3 linked regions of the Drosophila melanogaster genome follow. The protein of the gene in region 3 purifies or fractionates together with the protein of the main gene of each other region. This does not show direct contact. Each region holds a gene or a part of one and is shown on either strand. Other genes may lie near its edges.

The links. The genes of interacting proteins can lie anywhere in the genome.
Region 1: the proteins of CG3008 (region 3) and Gp210 purify together in Drosophila melanogaster (affinity purification with mass spectrometry, with the first as the bait; one large-scale study listed by BioGRID). This does not show direct contact.
Region 2: the proteins of CG3008 (region 3) and RpS10b purify together in Drosophila melanogaster (affinity purification with mass spectrometry, with the first as the bait; one large-scale study listed by BioGRID). This does not show direct contact.

The regions. Positions count from the first base shown.
Region 1 is NT_033778.4:5,759,301-5,763,923, reverse strand, and holds the start of Gp210 (glycoprotein 210 kDa), read right to left. Parts: upstream 3,063-4,623; 5' UTR 3,017-3,062; coding exon 2,862-3,016; intron 2,791-2,861; coding exon 1,731-2,790; intron 1,331-1,730; coding exon 1-1,330. Other genes in the region: CG7791 (uncharacterized protein), read left to right, coding at 3,612-3,746, 3,811-4,340, 4,394-4,623.
Region 2 is NC_004354.4:19,596,456-19,600,368, reverse strand, and holds RpS10b (ribosomal protein S10b), read right to left. Parts: upstream 2,330-3,913; 5' UTR 2,292-2,329; exon of another isoform or gene 2,221-2,291; 5' UTR 2,164-2,220; intron 1,945-2,163; exon of another isoform or gene 1,937-1,944; 5' UTR 1,936-1,936; coding exon 1,453-1,935; 3' UTR 563-1,452; downstream 1-562.
Region 3 is NT_033779.5:4,881,319-4,886,170, reverse strand, and holds CG3008 (uncharacterized protein), read right to left. Parts: upstream 2,874-4,852; 5' UTR 2,584-2,873; intron 2,526-2,583; 5' UTR 2,525-2,525; coding exon 1,832-2,524; intron 1,781-1,831; coding exon 662-1,780; 3' UTR 502-661; downstream 1-501. Other genes in the region: Cf2 (chorion factor 2), read left to right, coding at 3,779-4,852.

The sequences.
Region 1 (4,623 bases), on a different chromosome or scaffold from region 3:
CGTGTTGGGCAAGTAGCTTGTCGTTATACTGGGACACCGTTCCCTTAATGCGGAAGTTGGTCGCCACTTCACTCAATGTCAAGACAAGAAGGTCGCGACTCGGCAGGGTAACTCCATGATTGAACTCCAATTCAGAAATCTGACGGTGCGGGATAATGTTCTTCTGGTATCGCTCTTCACCAGCGGAAAACTCCCAGTCAAGCCCTAGTGAGCTGATATTCATGAGCCTACGATTATTTGAATCGTGTACCTCGATTTCAATTTCAATTTTATTCTCTGGATCTTTCAGGAATAATAACGAGGTGCGCTTCTCCAGGGGGCAGGAGTCACGCAGGTTATGGCGAGCGTAGAGCTTTAGGAAGCGAGGACGGACGCAATGCACCTTTGTGGTCACCTCCGATTGATATAAGGCAAAGCTTGAGGTGGGAAGGCTATTATGCACTCGGTAAGTGAACTGCGTCTCGCCCAGCTCACGACACAGCACGGTGAACGCAGTTATCAAATTTTGCGTGTCGAACTCTAATTTAGACACTTTTAATATTTTTTCATCAAAAGCGGTAGATTGTATGATTTCTGCTGCCACCGTAAAACTGCGCTGCGGCCCATTAGCATAAATTATATTACGGGATGACCCAACGGGAAGAACAACCTCGTTTTCTATTGGATTTAGCACGACTAATGGCTCAAAGACATACAAATCAATAATGTCGTAAAGCACTTTGTCCATATACATATAGGAAACGCGTAGCGAGGTGGTGCCCACAGCGGTGGCCCGCAACCGAAGCACATGACACGCCTCGTGAGCAGCCTCCGCCCCTTCATTACCCTCCAACTGCAGAATGGGCTGGCTGAAGTCTAGTTGGAAGTGAAGATTATCACAACTTGTGTAGGGAACCTCTGAATTATTTATTCGAGCGTATACGCCCACATGCACGTGTACGAAGTCCTTCAGGGCGGTCTCAAAGTTGCTCCGCGTGATCTGAAGGCGCTCAGGGGGGAGAAAGTAGATATGTGCCACACGGGAAATTTTCTGGTTCTTGGATAGAGCCACCTTGACGGTGGTGTGGGCGGTCAGTTTACCACCATCTTTCAGTACCTCCTGGTTCACGTAAGCGGATTTCACGTCGCGGATTTCAGTTGTGGCTTGGCCCTGGGTGTCAATCTGGATCACCTGTGGATTTCCGGAGAACCAAGCGTAGTTGTTATCTCCGCCAGATGCATGAAACTGCAGCTTTAAAGGTTTTAAGCTGTTAGGATCGTATGGCAACACCACCTTGGTTGGCGCTAACTGAAGCTCCTCAAATATCTGAAGCTCAGCTTGTACCGACAGCTGCAACATAAATAACAATATTATAAGAACTTTTAATATAACAAATAGACTTTTGGACTATTATTTTGAGTTAACCTTCTATAAAAAATGCAAACAATTTAAAATTCTACATATCACTGCGGTTGACTTTATAAAAATAGATATTTATTTGACTTATTTAATATTTTATTTACTTCGTTATAAAAGAGGTGGGCAAACGAAATGAATTATTTTTAGCGGTCGGCAAGCAATAAAAACAAATTTTAATTAATGGCTTTTTTTTTGTTAGATAATATTTAGTTTTTAGAAGTGGACAAACGCCTAATTATATGATAATACCGCGATTCTTTTTAATGGGTTATATCTATGCACATATTTTCTAGAGTAATATATATAACAAACATTTTAGTTATAAACTTACGTCTTTATATGAGCCATACACCTGAGTGATTCCCTCTTTTTTTGCTTGACCGAAAAGGCGGCTTCCGTTGCGAGTACGATCAACAATGGCGAAAAAGGATTCATCCACCTCTGAGTTGATTGAATATTTAGTGCCCATTGTGATCTTCTGACCGTCGGCAGCAAAAAGATCCAATGCTATAGCGTGATGCTCGCCTTGTACTGTCACCCAATTGAGATGGGGCAACAGACTGATGGACAACCTATTCGGATATGCCACAGTCAATAGAGCGCTGGGTCCCTTTTGGACCTCATCAGAGTCCGCCATGTTGCGGTCTCGCAGAAAGACCTGGGTGCGACCCAGAGCCGCTCCGGTGGCACTGTTTCCACGAAGGTATGCAATGCTGGAGTCCTCCACCTCCAAATAATACTGATTGTTGTCTATAACGTGCAGTCGGTCCATCTTCAGCTGCAGAATGCGAAATGAGACGGAGTCTCCAGCCATTATGGTGACTTCGGAAGGCTCAATTATAATGTTTGCAAGAACGCTGATGTACACCTCAACTGGCCGCACATGCTTGTACTCGGCCTGAGGCATGGCGATGGTCACCTTGGCGGTGCCAGTATTAATGCCCTCAAGGAGGATCATGTGCCCCTTCTTGCCGTCGGCTTCAAACTTTTCAATGGTGGGCGGTACAGTGTGGTACGGACTGTCCGTGAACGTGAGGTATCGCATTGCGGTGGGCCTTTTGCTACCGGGTTCCAAAATCTCCCAGTCAAACTCGATTCCCTCCAAGGTAAAAAACTCGTTGCCTTGTTCATCAAAGGCGTGCAGCTCGAACATGGCGGGCGCCTCCTCCAGGTAAAGTTGTCGAGTGGCGGTGCGCACATTTAGACTAGCAATGACATCCACAATCACGTCGGAACGCAGCGTCTCGCCCGTTTGTACTTCCTCGGCGAAGACGATTGCAGTGTTCCTCCGACGATCGTGAGTGCGGACTGTCACCACCGCCTGGTATGCACATTCGCTGAAGCCCTTGTAAATGGGCATGACAGATATCAAGTCCTGGCGTGAGGACGACCTGCAAGTTCAGCATAGTAGTAGTAGTAGTTCTAGAAGTTATAAAATTATATCTGTATGACGCCGATTTACCATTTGTAGCAGTTCGGCTCGTCGACTTCCAGGGTAAAGTTTATTGCCTTGTCTTCGAATATTGGTAGTAACACACGCGGGTGGTTCAACCTAGCTGCCTCAGAAGCATGATTTCTTACCAAAATCAGCAAAATCATGCAAAGAATAGAATCCATCGTGCCGGCAAACGAGCCACGCGCGGAACGAGATGCTGGATAGGGATGGACAAGAATGACAATATCGCAAATATCAACTATCGATAAATTATATTATACGGGTTTCAAAAATACCAATATATCACTTATTATATGTGATGTAAATCATAATCAGTTGTATATCTGTACCTCAAGTTAAACGAAGACTTACATATTACGTATAACAGCTTTTTTTATAATTATATTTATTTACAAATAAAATTGGGTTTTTGCTTGTAAATATTTATCAAATAACATCATTTTCGGGATACCCTGCAACTCAGTCTTAATAGGAATATTATTCTTTTTGTATTCCTAAAATAGGACTCGCTTAAGCTTAATTAACATTTATTTTTCTGTAATATCTAAACTAATCCTAGTTAAACTGGTGACAGCTTTAGAAAAATACTGTTAACACAACTCAACTCTATACAGCTGCACATGCAGTTAATTGATGTCTGTAATCGAAAAGCAAAACGTCTGGCAACATCGGGTTGACTTCACCGGCAGCTGACTTCTCATGTAACCATTTCGTTATAAACAAGCAATTTAAGTGATCCGAAATTGGGGAAGTGCCATGCTAGAATTTGGTCGAACATTGCTGCGCTGGAGAACGCGGCACTGCAGTCGCAGAGTCTCTACGTGGACGCCGCTGGCTACGGCGTTTAATGCGCCACCGGCTAGGCGGATCAACTTCACCCACGACGATGTTGTAAGACCCAAAGTCTGTAAAACGCAGGACCTCTGACTAGGCATACATGGCCTTTTTCCCGTAGGGCCTCTTTGGCATGCCCGAACTGCGGAGTTTTGAGGGCTTCTATCTCCTTCGAGACAATGTGGAAAGCCGGACGCAGGAGCTGATCTCCGAGGCCACCTCCGATCAACGACGTCGAAAGATGGTCGACATTTTTGACGAGCTTTCTGACTCATTGTGCAAGGTGGCGGACCTCGCAGAGTTTGTTCGTATCGCGCATCCTCAGAGCAGATACACCCAAGCAGCAGAGCAGGCCTGCATAAGCATTTGCGGAATGGTCGAGAGCCTTAACACGCATAAGCCCATCTATAAGGCTTTAAGCCACGTAGTGGATCATGGAGATAAGCTGCCCACCAGCGAAGTGGACAGACATGTGTCGCGTTTGTTCCTTTTCGACTTTGAGCAGTGTGGAATTCACTTGCCCGAGGAGGAACGTATGCGTGTTGTGCGGCTAAATGACTATATTCTTCAGCTCGGCCAGAAGTTCATGAGTGGAGCTGTGCAACCTAGTGTTCTTCCACGCAGCCAAGTCCCTGAGTCCTTTCGTAACTAGTAAGTTCACATATAACACTATCTGGGCTATACTAAAGATTTTTTTTTGTCAGCTTTCCTACCTCTGGGGAAAATGTAATTATCACTGGACTGTGCACAAACGCAGAGAACGTTCAGATGCGGGAGGCTGCCTACCGGTTGTACCTGCAGCCGTCAAAGAGCCAGGAGGATCTTCTCCGAGACCTACTGCTTTGCCGGCATGAACTGGCGCGTAGCTGTGGCTTCGATACATATGCACACCGGGCACTCAAAGGTAGCACGATGGAGAAACCCGAAGTGGTAC
Region 2 (3,913 bases), on a different chromosome or scaffold from region 3:
TACATTTTTCTAAACGAGTATTGCACATTGTAAATAATGAAACCACAATTATTTTGTATACAAAGCGATTTTTTTTTTATTGTTGCAAGCGAATACACTTTCCAGCGCAGTGCGCCCCAGTTGCGATGCGCAGAACGTTTTTGCGGGAAACATAGGTCCATAACCAGCTTCTTTTAACCATGTTAAGGCAATGATAGTCTCCAGGTATCTTCGGATTTATGCTAAATGGAGGAATGTACATAACCTTAACTACCCAAACCATGTTTCTACTCCGATGTGCCATGGCATAAACCTAGAATAATGCCATTCGTCGTATATTGTTGTAGTTCTTTTGGTCGGCCTAAATAAATAATCTAAGCGATTCGAATTCTTTATGGTCCGAGCATAGCAGCATACTTACTTGTTTACATAAAATATTAGTTGAAAGTAATCAACGTTAAATGGAGAAGCACATAAGCTTTTAAATAATATTAGTAGACACATAAGATTTAACTAAAACCTAACTTTGGGAAATGTGAAACTAGTGTATTTATAAAATTAGAATTAATATATAAGTAAAAGGCAGCTACAGAACAACAAAAGGATGCTCGTGAGCAAAAGAAGACTATTTAAGTAAACTAGTTATTTAACTAATTGTGAACGTTTAAGTAGCGTGAACAAATAAAACGAAATTGAGCATTTAAGTTACGTTCCTCCACATACGAAGATTTTGGCTTATCGTTTAGAAAATATACCATTTCCTTTGATGGTAAATCAAATTTAATCTATGTCCTTGCAATTCATGCCGTTTTTGTTATGAGCAATTGGATTCTAATGTTATTTAAATATTTGAATGTAGTATTTCGAGCCAACTGGTTTATTCCAACCCAAGTCTACTATGTTTTGGCACACAGCTATAAACGAATGCGATGAATTTCTGCACATATTTTTATAATAAAGAGCTACAAATCGACAAATATCCAAATCTATATACAACAATCTTTTGAAATTACCAAAATTGAATGCATGTATTGTATTCAAAAAAACGTATTTACGCTAGAATTCCTTCTTTCCTCTCGACAGAACCTCGCAAAATAAACTGAATTATCTGCAAAATCCTACTTCTAAAGTTATCTGAAGAGCTTCTTGCAAAAATGTGTTGGGTTAGCAGTTTCAGTTTGGCCGGGCATCGGGTTTACTATACTATTTAGCCACGCTTGGGATCTGAATCCACGTCCGATTTGCACACCACAATCACTGGACCAAACAACAAAAACAAAACAAAAAAAAAAAATAGAGGGGAGCACGGAATTTCACTTGCGTTTGCTTTATAATTGATCGTCATATCATAAAACACACACACATTTTTCAGATGTTGGTTTCTTCTATTGTTAAGGGTATGGATCTTCAGTTGAACATTTTACTGAGTAATTTTTTATACATTAGAAAAAAAAACTGAAGCGCCTGGGTTGTTTAGTTGCGCGATCCGCGTCCGAATCCGCCACGGAACTCGACCTCTCCGGCACCGGGTCCAACATCGCCCTTCTTGTCCACTCCGCTGCCGCCGGGAGCACGTCGGTAGGCGGAGCGATCCTCTCCGGTCTTGGAGGCGTCACCGGGTCCGCGTGGGCCGCCAACGGCGGGACGGGGACGGACGGTCTCCGAGCGGGCAGGGCGCTTCAGCGTCGAGGGCACGATCTCGGGCGGCAGGTGGAGGTAGCTGCGCAGCTCCTCGATTCCCTCGTTGGTGAGGTACCAGTAGTAGTGGCGCCAGGCGAACTGCTCCTTAACCAGTCCGCGCGAGTGGAGCGACTGCATCGCCTTGATCACGTGCAAGTTGGGGATCGACTCCAGTTCCGGGTGCTTCTGGGCATGGAAATCCTTCTTGGCCACGATCACGCCCTCCTTGAAGAGGTACTCGTAGATCGCGACACGATGGGCCTTTGGCATAAACATTCTGCACAAACAACAAAAAAAAAAAATAGCAATTAGATTCGGTTCATTGCCAGGATATATCTACAGATCATCCATGTGGTATCCAATTCACACATTGTTTATTGAGTCTGAAAGACTCGCTTCTTTGTCCACACAAAAAAAAAATGTACACATGCATTCGGGAACAACATTGGGCGCATATTTTCCCGGTGCGGCCGCTTGAAAATGGGGGTTTTCGGCGACAATTACCTGGATTGATTTGCAAACACAAAGTTACACGAACGCGAACGTATCGTAATACTCCCGCTGCAAGTAAAAAAGAGAATTGGAGGTATTTAATAGGGAGTTTTGCTTAAAAATTCGCGGAGCACACGCACTCACCGGAAACGTGAAGACGAAAAGAAAGGGAAACGGAAGGGATGACAAGAAGAAGACGGTGAGCAGTGTGGCCGGACCTTTCGATATGTGTCAGCAATCGATGACGCCGGCAATATATCGATATTATCTTAAGACATAATCCACGAGTAAATTTCGCGATTAAATCAAGTAACTACACTTGCGACACATTTTGACTTAGAATTTTTTGAATTACTTAAAACTGACCACCTTATATTCGTTCTCATAGCTTGTCTTGTATACTTGGGCATTCGATAGCGACAATGGTGCCGGACTTTTTAGTATCGATATCCTTATCGATAAGCCTTAGGCCAAGTATTAAGTTAATACACACACCGCATTTTGCACATGCATCTTATCGATACGTCTTTGTTGTCATAAAATCGCACTTATTTATTGCCAATAAGTATTAGTGATGGCACAGTTAAGCGTTTTTGTTTCGGTAATTCAAGTGTTTCATTTGTAATTATAAAAAAAATCACTCATTTTGTTTTATGAAAAAACAATTAAAATGGATCTTATTATATAAGCTTATTTATTTATTATTTATTTATTATTATTATTTAGTTATTTATTATTTCATTTATAAAACATTAATTTGAACTCAAAACAAAAAAAGTTTTACGACGAACCAGGTAAAACTTTCAATTTTGAGAGTCTCTCAGCAAAGGCCCTCCGCCCTCCCTTCTAGTCAACGAATGAGTAGCCATCTGTTCTCTGAGAATCTGTAGGTTTAACACTAAAGCTGTAAAACAATACAGCTCCCGGGATAGACAAACTTTAGGAATTAGCATTATTATGCAGCAGGATAATGGGCGCCACCGCCCAGACCCCAAGTTTCGACTGGGGCAGCCACAGGTTAGTGGATATCGGGGCGAAAAGTAATCTGTTAGTAGACGCGAAGGTTCTAACTTTTTCCCATCGAAAATTCCGAAGAGGATAAGAAGCAGCACACAGAAAATGTATTAATTAAAATAGAACCGTACAGTTAGGTTAAGCGCACAGTTGGGTTAAGTTAGGTTACACAGTGAGAAGTTCCTGATGAAGTGAACATATACAAATTTGAAATATATATGTACATAGTATATAAAATAATGCTGGATGAACCCTTCCTGACCTAAACCTACATCGGAAAAATTCAAAATCTCCGAACCGCCATTCTGCACTGAGAAAAATTAGGTTATATTTTTAAATCATATATTAGAAGGCTTTACCATAAGTTACCATAAGTTTATGGGATAATTTAAATAAATAATTTGGTTCTCCTCTAAAATATATTTAGCAACCTGTGTCGCATCCATTTAATGACAATTTTCTTGAATACCTTTTATAAAATTTTTCTTGAATTTACGGCAAAAACTAACACCTACTGCCTTATATTTCCTCATCTTACTTTAGTTTGCATTCATTTATTTACTTATTTAATTTATTACTTACCTATTATTACTTATAAATATTGCTATTAATTATTAGTTACCACCATGAATGCAATAAAAAAATGAATTTCTAAAAACTTAAATACTGAACTCGGCTGATGTTTCATCGGACATAGGGTACCAAAGGGGCCGCTAGAGCCATGCCTTTAATGAAAGTGGTCATAGAT
Region 3 (4,852 bases):
AACAGAATCATTTACAATATACATATATGTATACGCACTGAACTGCTCGCAACTGGATTCTGACGTCACACTTGAACTACAATATTTTGCAAAGTCCAGTTTCGCAAACGCATCCAGACTATTCTCGGACAGATAGATGTACTAGTTCCGTCAGATCGACAACCCAGAATCGTGTGCACTGGGTATGGCATTTTTATACGTAATCATCTGATCGGAGATTCGATTGAACCGACAAATCTCCCAATTAATGGGGAAAACTGCGCACCAAATGAGTTCAATTGTCGGGTTAGCTGATTCGGAAGATGGGCGTGTGGCCATTGAAGCCTGACATTTGCATTAATCTTAATTGATTAATAACGATTCAAGATCAAAGCCATTAGGAGAAATATCCGTAACAACATGAGTGCAACAAATGCAAATTGGAGCGCACTACAAAAAAAAGAGTTGAAGGTTACCCAAAAAATATTTTAAATAAGTTCTAAAATACAAAGCAAAGGTTTCCATGGGTGGAAAAACAAAACAATTTATTCTTTTTTTCGAGGGATATTTTATAGTCAAGTTACTTGACTACAAGCATCATATCTTTTACTATGGAATCTCTGTGACCAAACTGTTAATATCAATTTAAAACTAAACTAAATGAGTCCACACTTTAGAAGTTTCAATGGTTGGCAGTTTTGTTAATCTTTTCCTTGTCGTCACTATCATTCTCATTGTCATCGGTCTCTTGATCCTTATCCGTGTCGGTTTTGTTATCGTTATTATCCTGCGCTTGCTGCAGAGCCTTTTGAGCAGCGCGATCTTGTTGTGATTTTTCCCAGGCCAGCTCAAAGGGATACTCCAAGGGTTTCAGTTCGTCGGGGCACTCCTCCTGATTCGGAGCAGTGGCTTGGCTAATGGAAGCGCCACGCGTGTGGATCTGCTCCAGCTGAGCGGCGGTGTGGACCTCTGAATTGAGACCCGTAATAAACTCGAACAACTGCTCCTTGGTGTAAATGTTGGGCAGGCCGCGTCGTTCAAAGAAGTTAACAATGTTGCCGCAATCCCTCATCAGGAACTCCAGGGCACTGGGATGCTTCGGTTCGACACTCTGGGCCACGTCAATAAACCAGCACTTGCCCTCGAACCAGAGTATGTTATATTCGCTCATATCGGCGTGCACCAGCTTCGCCTCATTGTACAACTTGTGCATCGCGGCCACAATCTCTTCGTAGGCGCAACTCAGCTCCGCGTCGCTCAGACGGGCATCCTTTAACTTGGGCGCAGCGTTATGATTGTCACCGATGAACCGCATTACCAGCACGTGCTTCTTCAGCACAACAACGTCTGGAACGTTTAGGCCAATGGCTTGCATCCTCATCAGATTATGCATCTCCTTCTCGGCCCACATATTGATAATCACTCGGTGGTTTTGTTTGCTAAAGCGATCCTTGAACCGATAGTCATCCTTGATGTATCTATCGCGCTGCTTGAACTCGTTGAGCGTGGTTTTAAAGATTTTAATGGCACACTCCCGGGGCAAAAGCTGCGGTGGAACGAGCACACCACTCTGGTGACCATGCTCGTTGCTGCCCGTATAGTTCGCATCGGAATTGGCGTGCAAGATGACCGCCTCCTTGCCCGTGGATATAATGCCGTTGATCTGCTCCAGTATTTGGTTATTGATCAGCTTGTACAGCAGCAAACGTGTACCCGCATCCAATCCCATCTCCGCGGTGGCCACTTTCTCGTGCTTGTCGGAGCGGCCTCGTCGAGAATGGGCTCGTAGTTGGTTAAACACCTGAAAGGTACGTTTAAGTCTTATTATCGCTTAAAACTGACCGCTTCTAACCTTATTGGAGAGCTTCATGTCGAAACCGGCAGCATCACCGGTGGGAAACTCCGGCGGAAAGGACATCACGCGCTGGGCATTACGCACGGCGCACAGCTGCGGATCGTGCTTTGTTATCATCTCGCCCTCCTTGTTAACTTTAAAGCCGCAGCGAGGTATGGAGTCAAGCTGCCGTTCATTGTCCTCGAACCGATCCCAGTCGTGCTTCTGTTGCTCCAATTCATCCTCTTCGTAGTCATCTTCCGCGGTGTCGTGCAAGAACTCTGCATCGCCATCACGTAGGAACTTATTGAGGGTAACAGTGACCTTGGATTGCTTGTTTTGCTGCCGCTCGATACGACGCAATTCCTCATTGTACTCGTGATCGAACTGGGACTGCAACAGCTGGGCAATAACTGCATCGCTGTCTTCCGGCAGCTGAATGTCCTCCGCTACGTTTCCTTCGTCATTGAGGAGCGCAGAGTAATCCTCCCAATCCTCCGCATCACTTTGGATACTCTGCGCATTGGGCGCTGGCGGGGATGAGGCTTGCGACCCCCAAACGGGTGCTATCTGTTCGTCCGGTCTTTTCAGCTTCTCCGTGTGGCGCTGCAGCTCCTTGTCGTGCAACTTGTGGGCATATTGCTCCGACATTATATCCGCCAGATTCACCTGCTGCACAGGCTCGCTGGTCTTAACCCATGGCGACGACATTCTGCACAATCGAAAGAGAGTCAATATAGATCACAATTTGGTGCTGTGATTCCACAAACCTATTGGAACTTGGCTTGAGAAGATCGAGTTCTATATCGGTGGTAATTGTGGCAGTTTACAAACAAGCCTCTGTCCAAATCCTGACCAACGGCGGGTTGCAGGTGGACTCTGATATGTCCGCGGTGGAGGACAAGTGACAGTTTTGGCACTATAGATGACCAATATAAGGGGAAGCCAATTGCAACCCTTGTTGCAATAATATTTCTATTGTATTTCTCCAAACAATCCTTTTTCCAATTGTTGTGAAATTATCAGCTTATGAAAGTATCGAGCTATCGCAGAACGATAGACCCGATAAATTTGGAAATAGAAGAACTCCTAATATCGAAAGCTTTGCTTACAATTTTTATAACGTTAAGTTAAAGTTATATTATACTTTAATTTGCATACTTAGAAAACGTTTTATTTGTCATATTTTAGGAAAAGGCAGAAAAATATATCGTTAGCAAGGGCGTTGCCACATCGTCAGTTCTAGAGCGACGTTGCCATCGTAGTTTCGATGCCAGTAATCGATACTTTTTGTTGTAGTTGTACATTTTTCGCCAAAAATAATAATAAAAGTGAAAAATTTTTTTTGTTAATATACGTTTATTTGTTGTACAAAGGAGAAAATGTTATTAAACTGATTGGCCGCCCCAGCATTTTCGTGACCCCCGCTCCAAATACAACAAAATCGAACGGCCGCCAGCAACAACAAGGTGCAGTAAATATTCAGTGCGCTGGTAAGAAAGATGGAAACAAAACGAGAGACCGAAAAAGCAATCAAAATAGAATTCCGAATTTAGAATATGACAGACTGAAAAAAATTTTCAATTCGAACGCATTGCCGCTGCTGCTGCCCGCTCCTCTTCTTCTTCATCTCCTCCTCCTTCTTCCTCTTCTTCGCCAGCCGCTGTGGGGGGACATTGGGGGTCAAATGCAGAAGATCGGGACTGAAGATTTCGTGAATTTGTGATTTCCGAATTCGTTCCTGCTAATTTGCGACTGCCAGACTCAAAGAACACACACACACATACACACCAGCACACACCCACACGCTTGCACATACATTCGCTTGTGGCCGCCTGTAATTATGATTTTTATTACTCCTGCAGCGCATATCGCCTTCTTTAACCGCCAATTGCTCCTGCTCCTGCCCACTAACCAAGTCAAACCAAAAGAAGCGATTACTCTCCAAGCGCCAGCGGAAGTGAAATGATAAAGTCCACCACGAATCCACAGGAACAGCGTCTGCCACGCCCCGAGGATCAGTCGCCAGCGCCGCCGCCGCCGCCCCCCTCCTCAGCCACCACCTCCACCGCCGCCCCAGCCACGCCCACGCACCAAGTGGCCACCGTGATAGCCAACATGGACACCCTGAAGACAGCCTTTCTGCCCAATCTCAGCATGGACCCCAATGTGCACGTGTCGCCGCACTATTGTCCCATGTGTCACCAGCAGTTTGAGCGACCGCAGCACGTCGCGGATCACATGCAGCTGTGCCACGGGATCACGCTGAACGCCCAGGGAGCCATTGCCACGCTGGACGGCGGTCATCCGCAGGCACAGCAGCACCCCAAGCTCAGCCACCCCTGCTTCAATTGTGATGAAAAGTTTGGCAACGCCGTCGATTTAGACGAACACCATCGGCTGGCCCATCAGACGCCCGCCTTCCTGTCCCGCTGCCTTATGTGCAGCATCTATGGCATCCACTCGGCCACCCAGCAGCCCAACGAGTACAAATGCACGCAGTGCGGCTCCATTTGCACCACCGCCATGCTGGCTGCCGGACAGCAGGGCTTTATGGAACAGCAGGAGGCGGCGGTGACGCCCGACGATCAGCTGCCGGCAATGGCGCCCCGTGATATGAGACTGACGCCCGAGGAGCAGCACCATCAGCAGCAACTGCAGGCGGAGCACCACCATCAGCAACAGCACCAACAACAACAACAGCAGCAGCAGCAGCAGCAGGAACTGCTGGAGCAGCAGCAGCGTGAAATGCAGGAGCAGGCGCAACAGCAGCAGGTGCACCATCACCAGCAGGATCAGGATCTCGCCGGCGACCAGGTGGCGCTGAAGGTGCCACCACTCACCGTCAAGCTAAACAAGAACGCCAACGGTGGCGCCATTGTGTCGCATCCGCAGGTCATTATCAAGGAGGAGCCACTCAGCCTGAGCGACAGTGGTGATGTTGTCAACTCTGTGCCTGTCTATGCCATACAAGCCAATCCCGGTGTACCCGCTCCGGCCAGTTCGGGTGTGCTAGTCGGCACACAAACGGTACCTGCC